Linked DNA regions of Oryzias latipes. The protein of the gene in region 2 purifies or fractionates together with the protein of the main gene of each other region. This does not show direct contact. Links are inferred from orthologs where the notes say so. Each region holds a gene or a part of one and is shown on either strand. Other genes may lie near its edges.

What was found.
Region 1: the proteins of edc4 (region 2) and xrn1 purify together in Homo sapiens (co-immunoprecipitation; 4 studies listed by BioGRID and IntAct, with this or other methods). This does not show direct contact. The link is inferred for Oryzias latipes from reciprocal best matches to the Homo sapiens genes EDC4 and XRN1.

Annotation. Positions count from the first base shown.
Region 1 is NC_019875.2:19,740,970-19,744,486, reverse strand, and holds part of xrn1 (5'-3' exoribonuclease 1), read left to right. Parts: intron 1-699; coding exon 700-809; intron 810-907; coding exon 908-1,018; intron 1,019-1,097; coding exon 1,098-1,183; intron 1,184-1,327; coding exon 1,328-1,415; intron 1,416-1,964; coding exon 1,965-2,133; intron 2,134-2,370; coding exon 2,371-2,438; intron 2,439-2,770; coding exon 2,771-2,908; intron 2,909-2,995; coding exon 2,996-3,165; intron 3,166-3,517. UniProt on the Homo sapiens protein: Major 5'-3' exoribonuclease involved in mRNA decay. Required for the 5'-3'-processing of the G4 tetraplex-containing DNA and RNA substrates. The kinetic of hydrolysis is faster for G4 RNA tetraplex than for G4 DNA tetraplex and monomeric RNA tetraplex.
Region 2 is NC_019864.2:24,347,460-24,351,470, forward strand, and holds the start of edc4 (enhancer of mRNA-decapping protein 4), read left to right. Parts: upstream 1-1,211; 5' UTR 1,212-1,354; coding exon 1,355-1,442; intron 1,443-4,011. UniProt on the Homo sapiens protein: In the process of mRNA degradation, seems to play a role in mRNA decapping. Component of a complex containing DCP2 and DCP1A which functions in decapping of ARE-containing mRNAs. Promotes complex formation between DCP1A and DCP2.

The DNA of each region.
Region 1 (3,517 bases), on a different chromosome or scaffold from region 2:
AACCTTATTTTCTATGATGACTTTAAAACTATGAACATTTTATCTCCCAGCATATCCTTTATGGATGTATATATATATTAGGGCTGCACGATATGAGCAAAACTTGCGATGTGCGATATTAGTGATCAATATTGCGATAACGATATAATTTGCGGTATATAAACAAATAGCAAAACAACCAAAAACATCATTACCATGTCATTTCAACAGTTTAAAAAAATGATACTCCAAATGACCCTTGTTGACGTAGGATGCAAACATCTAACATAAAAGGGCTCATCTGATTGGTCAACATCGGAAAAGGTCCATCCAATTGGTCAAATGCATAAATGGATTTATTTGATTCGTTAAATGCTTCAAGCTGCCATAGGATTGTGTTAGCACATTTAAGGTAACCATTTATTGCGATTTTTGCTGACTTTTGCAATATGGATATTGCACTGCTTGATATTGCGATAACGATAAATTTGCGGTAAATTGTGCAGGCCTAATATATATATGTATAAATATATATATTTACGTCTTTCATGAGTGACTATGCTCTTTAAGGTGTCCATTATCTTAAGGGAAACCTCGTTGTCTGATACAAATTTGTAACCAATGTTGCCATTTTGCGTTAAGCCGCTCACTCCAGGTAATAACAACAGCAGAAATGGAATTATAGTGTATTTCACACATTTAGCTATGTACTTTTTTCAGGCACTGACTTCATGGCGAGACTTCAAGAGCAGCTTAAGTACTTTGTCCACAACAAGCTCTCCACTGACAAGCTCTGGCACAATGTCAAAGTCTACTTGTCTGGTCACGAGGTGAAGTGCTTTACATTCTTTCCAACTTGCTGACTGATTGATAGCTTCAGTGAAGGTTGCTTGTTTTGACTTTGTGGGGGCATCTTCTTCTTTTTAAGACACCGGGAGAGGGAGAACACAAAATCATGGAGTTTATTCGCTCTGAGAACTCCAAACCCAGTCATGATCCTAACACCCGGCACTGCCTGTATGGCCTGGATGCTGACCTGGTAAGGTTCGGAAATCTCTAAACAATGTTTTTGGAGCCCTAATAGAGTAATTTGCTTTGCTTTTTAACCTGTTTTCCAGATTATGTTGGGTTTAACCAGCCATGAGCCGCACTTCTCTCTGCTCAGAGAGGAGGTTCGCTTTGGAGGGAAGAAATCACAGAAAAGGTTTGGTGTTCCTCTCGATTGTTTTTCTCACAAGTCCAAGTTTTCTTTAGTATAAAAAGTACAATTATGTTTTTACATTTTAGCTTCTCTTTCAGATTCTTCTTTATCTTTGTTTTAAACTCTCCTTTTTGTCTTCGCCTCCAGGATAACGGCTCCTGAAGAGACGACTTTTCACTTGCTGCACTTGTCCTTGATGAGGGAATACATCGATTATGAGTTCTCATGGCTTAAGGTCTAACTTGGCACACAGAGCATTAAAGCATTTTAAATGTGTCTTTTAGAGCTGCACGATATGAGGAGAACCTGCAATTTGCCATATTAGTGATCAATATTGCGACGACGATAACTTGCGATACATGAACAAATAGCAAAATATCTAAATACATAATTTCCATTTCACTGCAACAGTTTAATTTATATAGGAGTCAGCATCACTTAAATTATTCTCCAAATGACCCTCGTCTACGTAGGAGGCAAGCATCTAACATAAAAGGCTCCATCGTTGGTCAAATGTGTAAATAGATTTATTTGATCTGTTAAATACTTCAAGCTGCCATATGATTGTTTTAGCACATTTAAGGTTGCCATTTATTGCAATTTTCTTCGACTTTTGCGTATTGCACAGCTTGATTTTGTGACAAATTTGCGATTTCTTTTTTTTTTTTTTTTTTTGTGCAGGCTTAGTGTCTTCTTAAAATATCTAAGGAGAGTTGAATGTACACTTTTGTGTTTCTGATATAAAAGCAATGTCTGATATGTATTTTCTTTGTTTATCTTTCAGAATCATTTGGGCTCTGCCTATGATCTGGAGCGAATAATAGATGACTGGATTTTAATGGGATTTCTCGTGGGGAATGATTTCATCCCCCATCTGCCTAATCTTCATATTAATCATGATGCTTTGCCAATGCTGTACAAAACTTACATCAGTGTGCTACCCAGCCTGGGGGGTTAGAACCACGCACACACACACACACACACACACAAATATAAGGAGCAAAAACATAATGGCATCACACATTTGTACATAGTTCCTGTGCTTTTACATTTACACTTTAAATGTTTATTTCCACTTAGAAGCATGAATCAACGTCATAATCATTCGATGTCTTATAGGTTTTATATTAACACCCACTTTTTCTTCTGGATTTTCATAATTAAAACCTATTTTTTTCTGTCTGATTTAGGTTATCTGAATGAAAATGGGCACTTAAACCTCAAAAACTTTGAGAAATACATGGAGAAACTTTCTGAGGTGAGACACATAGTATGAATGTTTCCAAAGAAATTTTTAAAATGTAAAAAAAAAAGTACATTTTATACTAAGAAAACAGTAAATAAATAAATCAAACTAAATATAACTATGGATGTGTTTGTATTAATTTGAAAACTAATCCTATCTTGACTTCTTTTAGTGTTGTAGTTTTGTTTCCTTTTTATAATTTAGTCCAGTCAAATTTTATGGACATGTTCTTTATACATGTTTGTATATCGCAGCATCTTTCTTCAGACTGTATTATTGGTACACTGTGTATTTACTAGCACATGACCTTTTTTCTCCCTTGATTCCGTCCTGCATCCCTCCAGTTTGACCGGGAACATTTTAATGAAGTGTTTGTGGACTTAAAGTGGTTTGAGAGCAAAGTGGGAAACAAATATCTGAACGAGTCGGCTGGTCTGGCAGCCGAGAAGGAATCTGCTGGGAAAAAGTTCAACAAGAAAAAGGTGGAGACACAGTGACAAATAAAGATCTTTTTTTTGACTGAGAGCAGCTTTTTTTTTTGTAATTTATGTCTTATGTTTTCTGGAAAGGATGCGTCCCTCGGACTGTCAGCCCTGACTTCACCTGACAAAGATACTGAACACAAAGAAGTGGCTGAGGATGACGATGAAGAGGAGGAGGATGATCTGTTTGAAACCGAGTTCAGGCAGTACAAACGCACATACTATATGACCAAGATGGCCGTAGATGTAGTGTCTGAGTGAGTACAAAGCAATACAGAAAGGAGTGAATGTGTAAAATCTATAGCAAACGATTTAAATAAAATAATTCCCTTTTGCCGACACTGTTGTCATTTACTGATTGTGCCGCATGGGAAAGAAAGTATGACTCAGCAGAAATGATCAGGTTTTTTTTTTTCTGAATCTTGTGCCTGGTTATTGATCAACAAGAAATGAGTGAGAAAATAAACTGGAACTAAAACAAATAAAGCATTTATTTTAATAGTCACAATGTTTCCTGTTTGAAAAAAGTTGCCATAAGGAATATTTTTTATATTTACTGTGAACGTAAAAAAAAAAAAAAGTAACATTTAACATGTCAAAATTAACAAA
Region 2 (4,011 bases):
TAAAGTGGTTGTAAATGTTAATAAAATCATTTTTATTCCAATTCATTAAAAAGTGAAGATGGGTTGTAGAAGTGTTGTTGCATGTGTTAATATGTATTATTACAAACAAACAGACCAATATATTTTCCTTTAGGGCACAAGACTCAAAAAAAGAAAAGAAAATTGAAGAGGAATTTATTTACTTTCTTTCTCTGTCAGCAATGCAACATTGAACACATCACCCCCCTCTCGACTGGTACTTTTCCCCCCCAAATTTCTCAGGTTTCAGAGCTTAAGGTTCATTTTCCTTTTATACAAATATTTTTTTCTTATTAAACATTGTATTAATAACTGTTCATTCATTCATCTTCTAATCTGTTTTCCAGGGTCACAGGGCTGCTGGAGCCTGTCCCAGCCATTTGTGGGCAAAAGCGACACCCTGGACAGTTTGCCAGTCTGTGGCAGGGCCACAATCACACACCCATGCACCAATGCACTCTCACATTCACACCTAGGGGCAATTTAGACTAACCAATTAACCTATGAAGCATGTTTTTGGACAGTGGGAGGAAGCTGGAGAGAACATGCAAACTCCACAGAAAGACCCCCCCCCATTGATGTTCTGTTTCAGTATCCCCAGCTGAGACTTGAACCAGGGGCCTTCTTGCTGGGAGGCAAGAGCGCTAACCACTGCTCCACTGTGCAGCCCACTAATTAATAACTAATTATTATTAAAAAATATGAATATATTAATCATAATCTCAACTTTTTCTTAAAAAATAAAATTAAAAAATCACATTAAGGAGTGAATATAAATGCTTATTTTCACATTTCATTCATTAGTATGCATTAATGTCTTAATTGCTATTGTTTTATTTGTGATCATGTTTGAGCTTTTAATTGTAGGTCATCGTGTTCAATTGTGGTCATTGTAAGACAGCACCAAAATAAAAATCTGCCACATTTGATATAATATTTATGCACTTCCTAAAGGAGCAAATCAGGCAGACAGTGCCAGCTTGAGTGGTCTGTTTTATCTCAACTGCACAGTATAATGTGGTTTGTAGAAATACATTTATGATGTGGATAAAATAATCTGTTCTTTTTTTTGGGAGGGGGGGGGGCAATGATCTTATATGAGAGTTAAAGTCCGTTTTCCTTTAGTTTGCTTAGTTGTGGAAAGCACGAAGAAGCCTGTAAATTTGAAAGTAGGAACCAGGAAGCATTGACTTGACCCTGTAACCAGTCGGAACATCTACGGAGAGGACCAAACGGAAGTTTAGACGGTTGCTGTGGGTGAAGGGACAGCTTCGCTGTAGACGAAAATTTAAAATTCTCCCCTTCAATTTACCCAGTCTTCCCCTTTCCCTCGCCCATGTCGTCCAGCTCTAATATAGACATCGAGGGTGCGACCCAGCACCTCCGGGATATCCTCAAGCTCGACCGTTCGGGAAACGGCGCCGGTAAGTCGCACCGGGAACGAAAAGTCGCTGCGCTGCCAGTTAGGCCGCTAAGCTAGCAGGCTGCTAGCTTGCTACATTAGTAACACCCGTTTCGGCGTGAAAACGTCCCCTGATAGATTTTATACACATTTGTAGGAAAAAGGCAAACTATAGAAGACAGTTTAAACGTCGAAGAGTTTCCACTCACACTTGTCGTGTTTGAGTAGTTTGTTTGTGGCGCTGCGACTGCTTCGACCTCACCGACATAGCTCGGTTAGCTTAAGGCTCATTCCATCTATGGAAAAACTATAGAAAAGCAGATAAAGTGATACAGGAACTAACTTCAAGCTCTATATTAGTTCTTAAATCGAGTCACCATATTTGGAAGGTTTTCCCATTTTACATGATATACGAAGTCTAAAAATAAGCAGTAAACACTACAGGTAAGCAGCCAGGACTTCAAATATAATTATCGTGCGAAATATTTGTCACAGCATTTTTTATGTTACCCCAAAGTACACCAATCACCCAGAAAATTAACAGTCCCATATAATTGTATCACGCTTGTATGTCTGGTATGTTTTCGGGAAGCACACAACAAATGCTTTGTTTTTAAGGAGGAAAATTTTCAAGTGCGATTCTAGGGCTAAACGTGTATATGGATGGTTTTTAGAAATGTGTATTTTCGTGGCCTTGATGATTGCAGATCGAAGCATTAAGTTGTTAATGCTGAGAGAATTTTGAACATATTTCTATGTTTGTTATTTTTTTTTTTTTTTTTTTTTTTTACAGTTCTTGGTCATTTTTAAGTTTTTCAATTGTCTTGAAGTTTTTTTCTTAATATCAAATACCAAATATTTCTGACACGTGCCTGCTTGCACGGGGAATAATGTGTATTTTTTTGTTTAAACATATCAAATGATCTCAAAATAAATCAAACTTTTATTTTGGGATGATCTGGTTTGATTTGGACACGTAAATACTTTTTAAAAAATTGACTTGATTATCACTGGACTAAGAAAATGGATTTGCTGTGTTGTTTGTCTTTTGTGGTCCAGCTACAAGAAAATTGCAAGTGTAAAAGAATAAGCTTCATTTGGTCAAAATACGTTATTATAGTTAATTAAATCAAATGACTTATATCGACTCATTCTGGACTGAATTTCCTTTTAGAGTAAATTATTGGTTTTTGTTCGTTTAAGGTTTGCTTTAAATCAAACTGAATAGAAGAATCAAATGGGTTTGCATTTATTTTAAACTTACTTTTGGGTTATCTTTTTTTCATTTTTTTTGTACTGCTTTGTACACGTTTATTAATACAGTATAAATAAAATGATTTTCATGAGATGAAAATATTAGAAAATGGAAAGCGTCCACGTAACCCCTGAAATGATTCCTCCATGTAATGTAATTGATGGTCAGTTTAAAGTCAGTATCATACTGTTTGTTCTTTTCAGTTAACTAAAAATGTTTTGAAGTAACCCAATTACCATAGCAGTCTATCCTTTTCATAATAAACAGATGAACAATATTTGTGTCAAATTAAGTTATATTATTAAACTGAAATAAATAATTTAATCTTTAAGATTTAAAAGGCTTTACAGGTTAAAACACTCATCTGCTCAAAGTGATAAATGGGTATAAATATAATTAAACTGCTGGCTGTTATAAAAGCGGTGTAGTAAGAGTCCAAATGCAGTTCTATTTGCTGTCTCTCAAATGAAAAGCGCCTTCTGTTGAGGAAAGATGGCCTCCACAATACATTAAATACAGATTTTCTGTTTTAAACACTTTTAGTAGTTATTTTATCCGTTCAAAACAATTTTATCCTACACATTTAAACTAAAGATGCCACCAAATATGAAAACAAAAAAAATCAAGATCTTAAATAAATTCAGCAAGAGGGGAAAAAGTACTGCATGTTTTAACCTGCGTTATTTTAGTTTCATTATTTAAAAATAAATAAATATAAAGCCAGTTCATTTTTTTGGCAGCTGTCCTTTATATTTTTAGGAAAGTAAAAATCAACAGATTTCATCAGAAAAAATGTATTCAGAGCAAGAAATCTGTATCTAGTTTTTCAAGCTACTGTTGAGTTTGATGAGGGTTTTTTATGCTAGAAGAACCTTTTGAGCAAAAGGACACGGCAGAAACTGAGGAAACTGGCTGCGAGGAATAAATAAAAATAGGGACTCATTATGCTAAAACAGTATTGCATTTCAAAAAATCTATTCATCTAATTTGAAATAGTGTGATTTTGTTTGTTTTTCTTGTTAAAAAAGCTATTCTGATTTCTCTCCAATAATAATCTTTCTGACAATGTCTGCAATTCTCAAACTTTATTCCATAGTTATGATGGCTTGATCTTATTTTACACTTGTAAGATCAACAAACAACAGATTTGTAAGATAACAATCCTCTTTGTTTGTGTTAAATGCAGACACTTCACTGGCAGAGATGAGAACCGAGTTCTGCTTTCAGCTGTCATAAATACTGCATGAGTCGATGTCATTGATGTTCTGATTTGTTTATTTTTCATGAATTATGGGTCATAATAAACTGATAATCAACCTCCAGGTGCATCATGCCC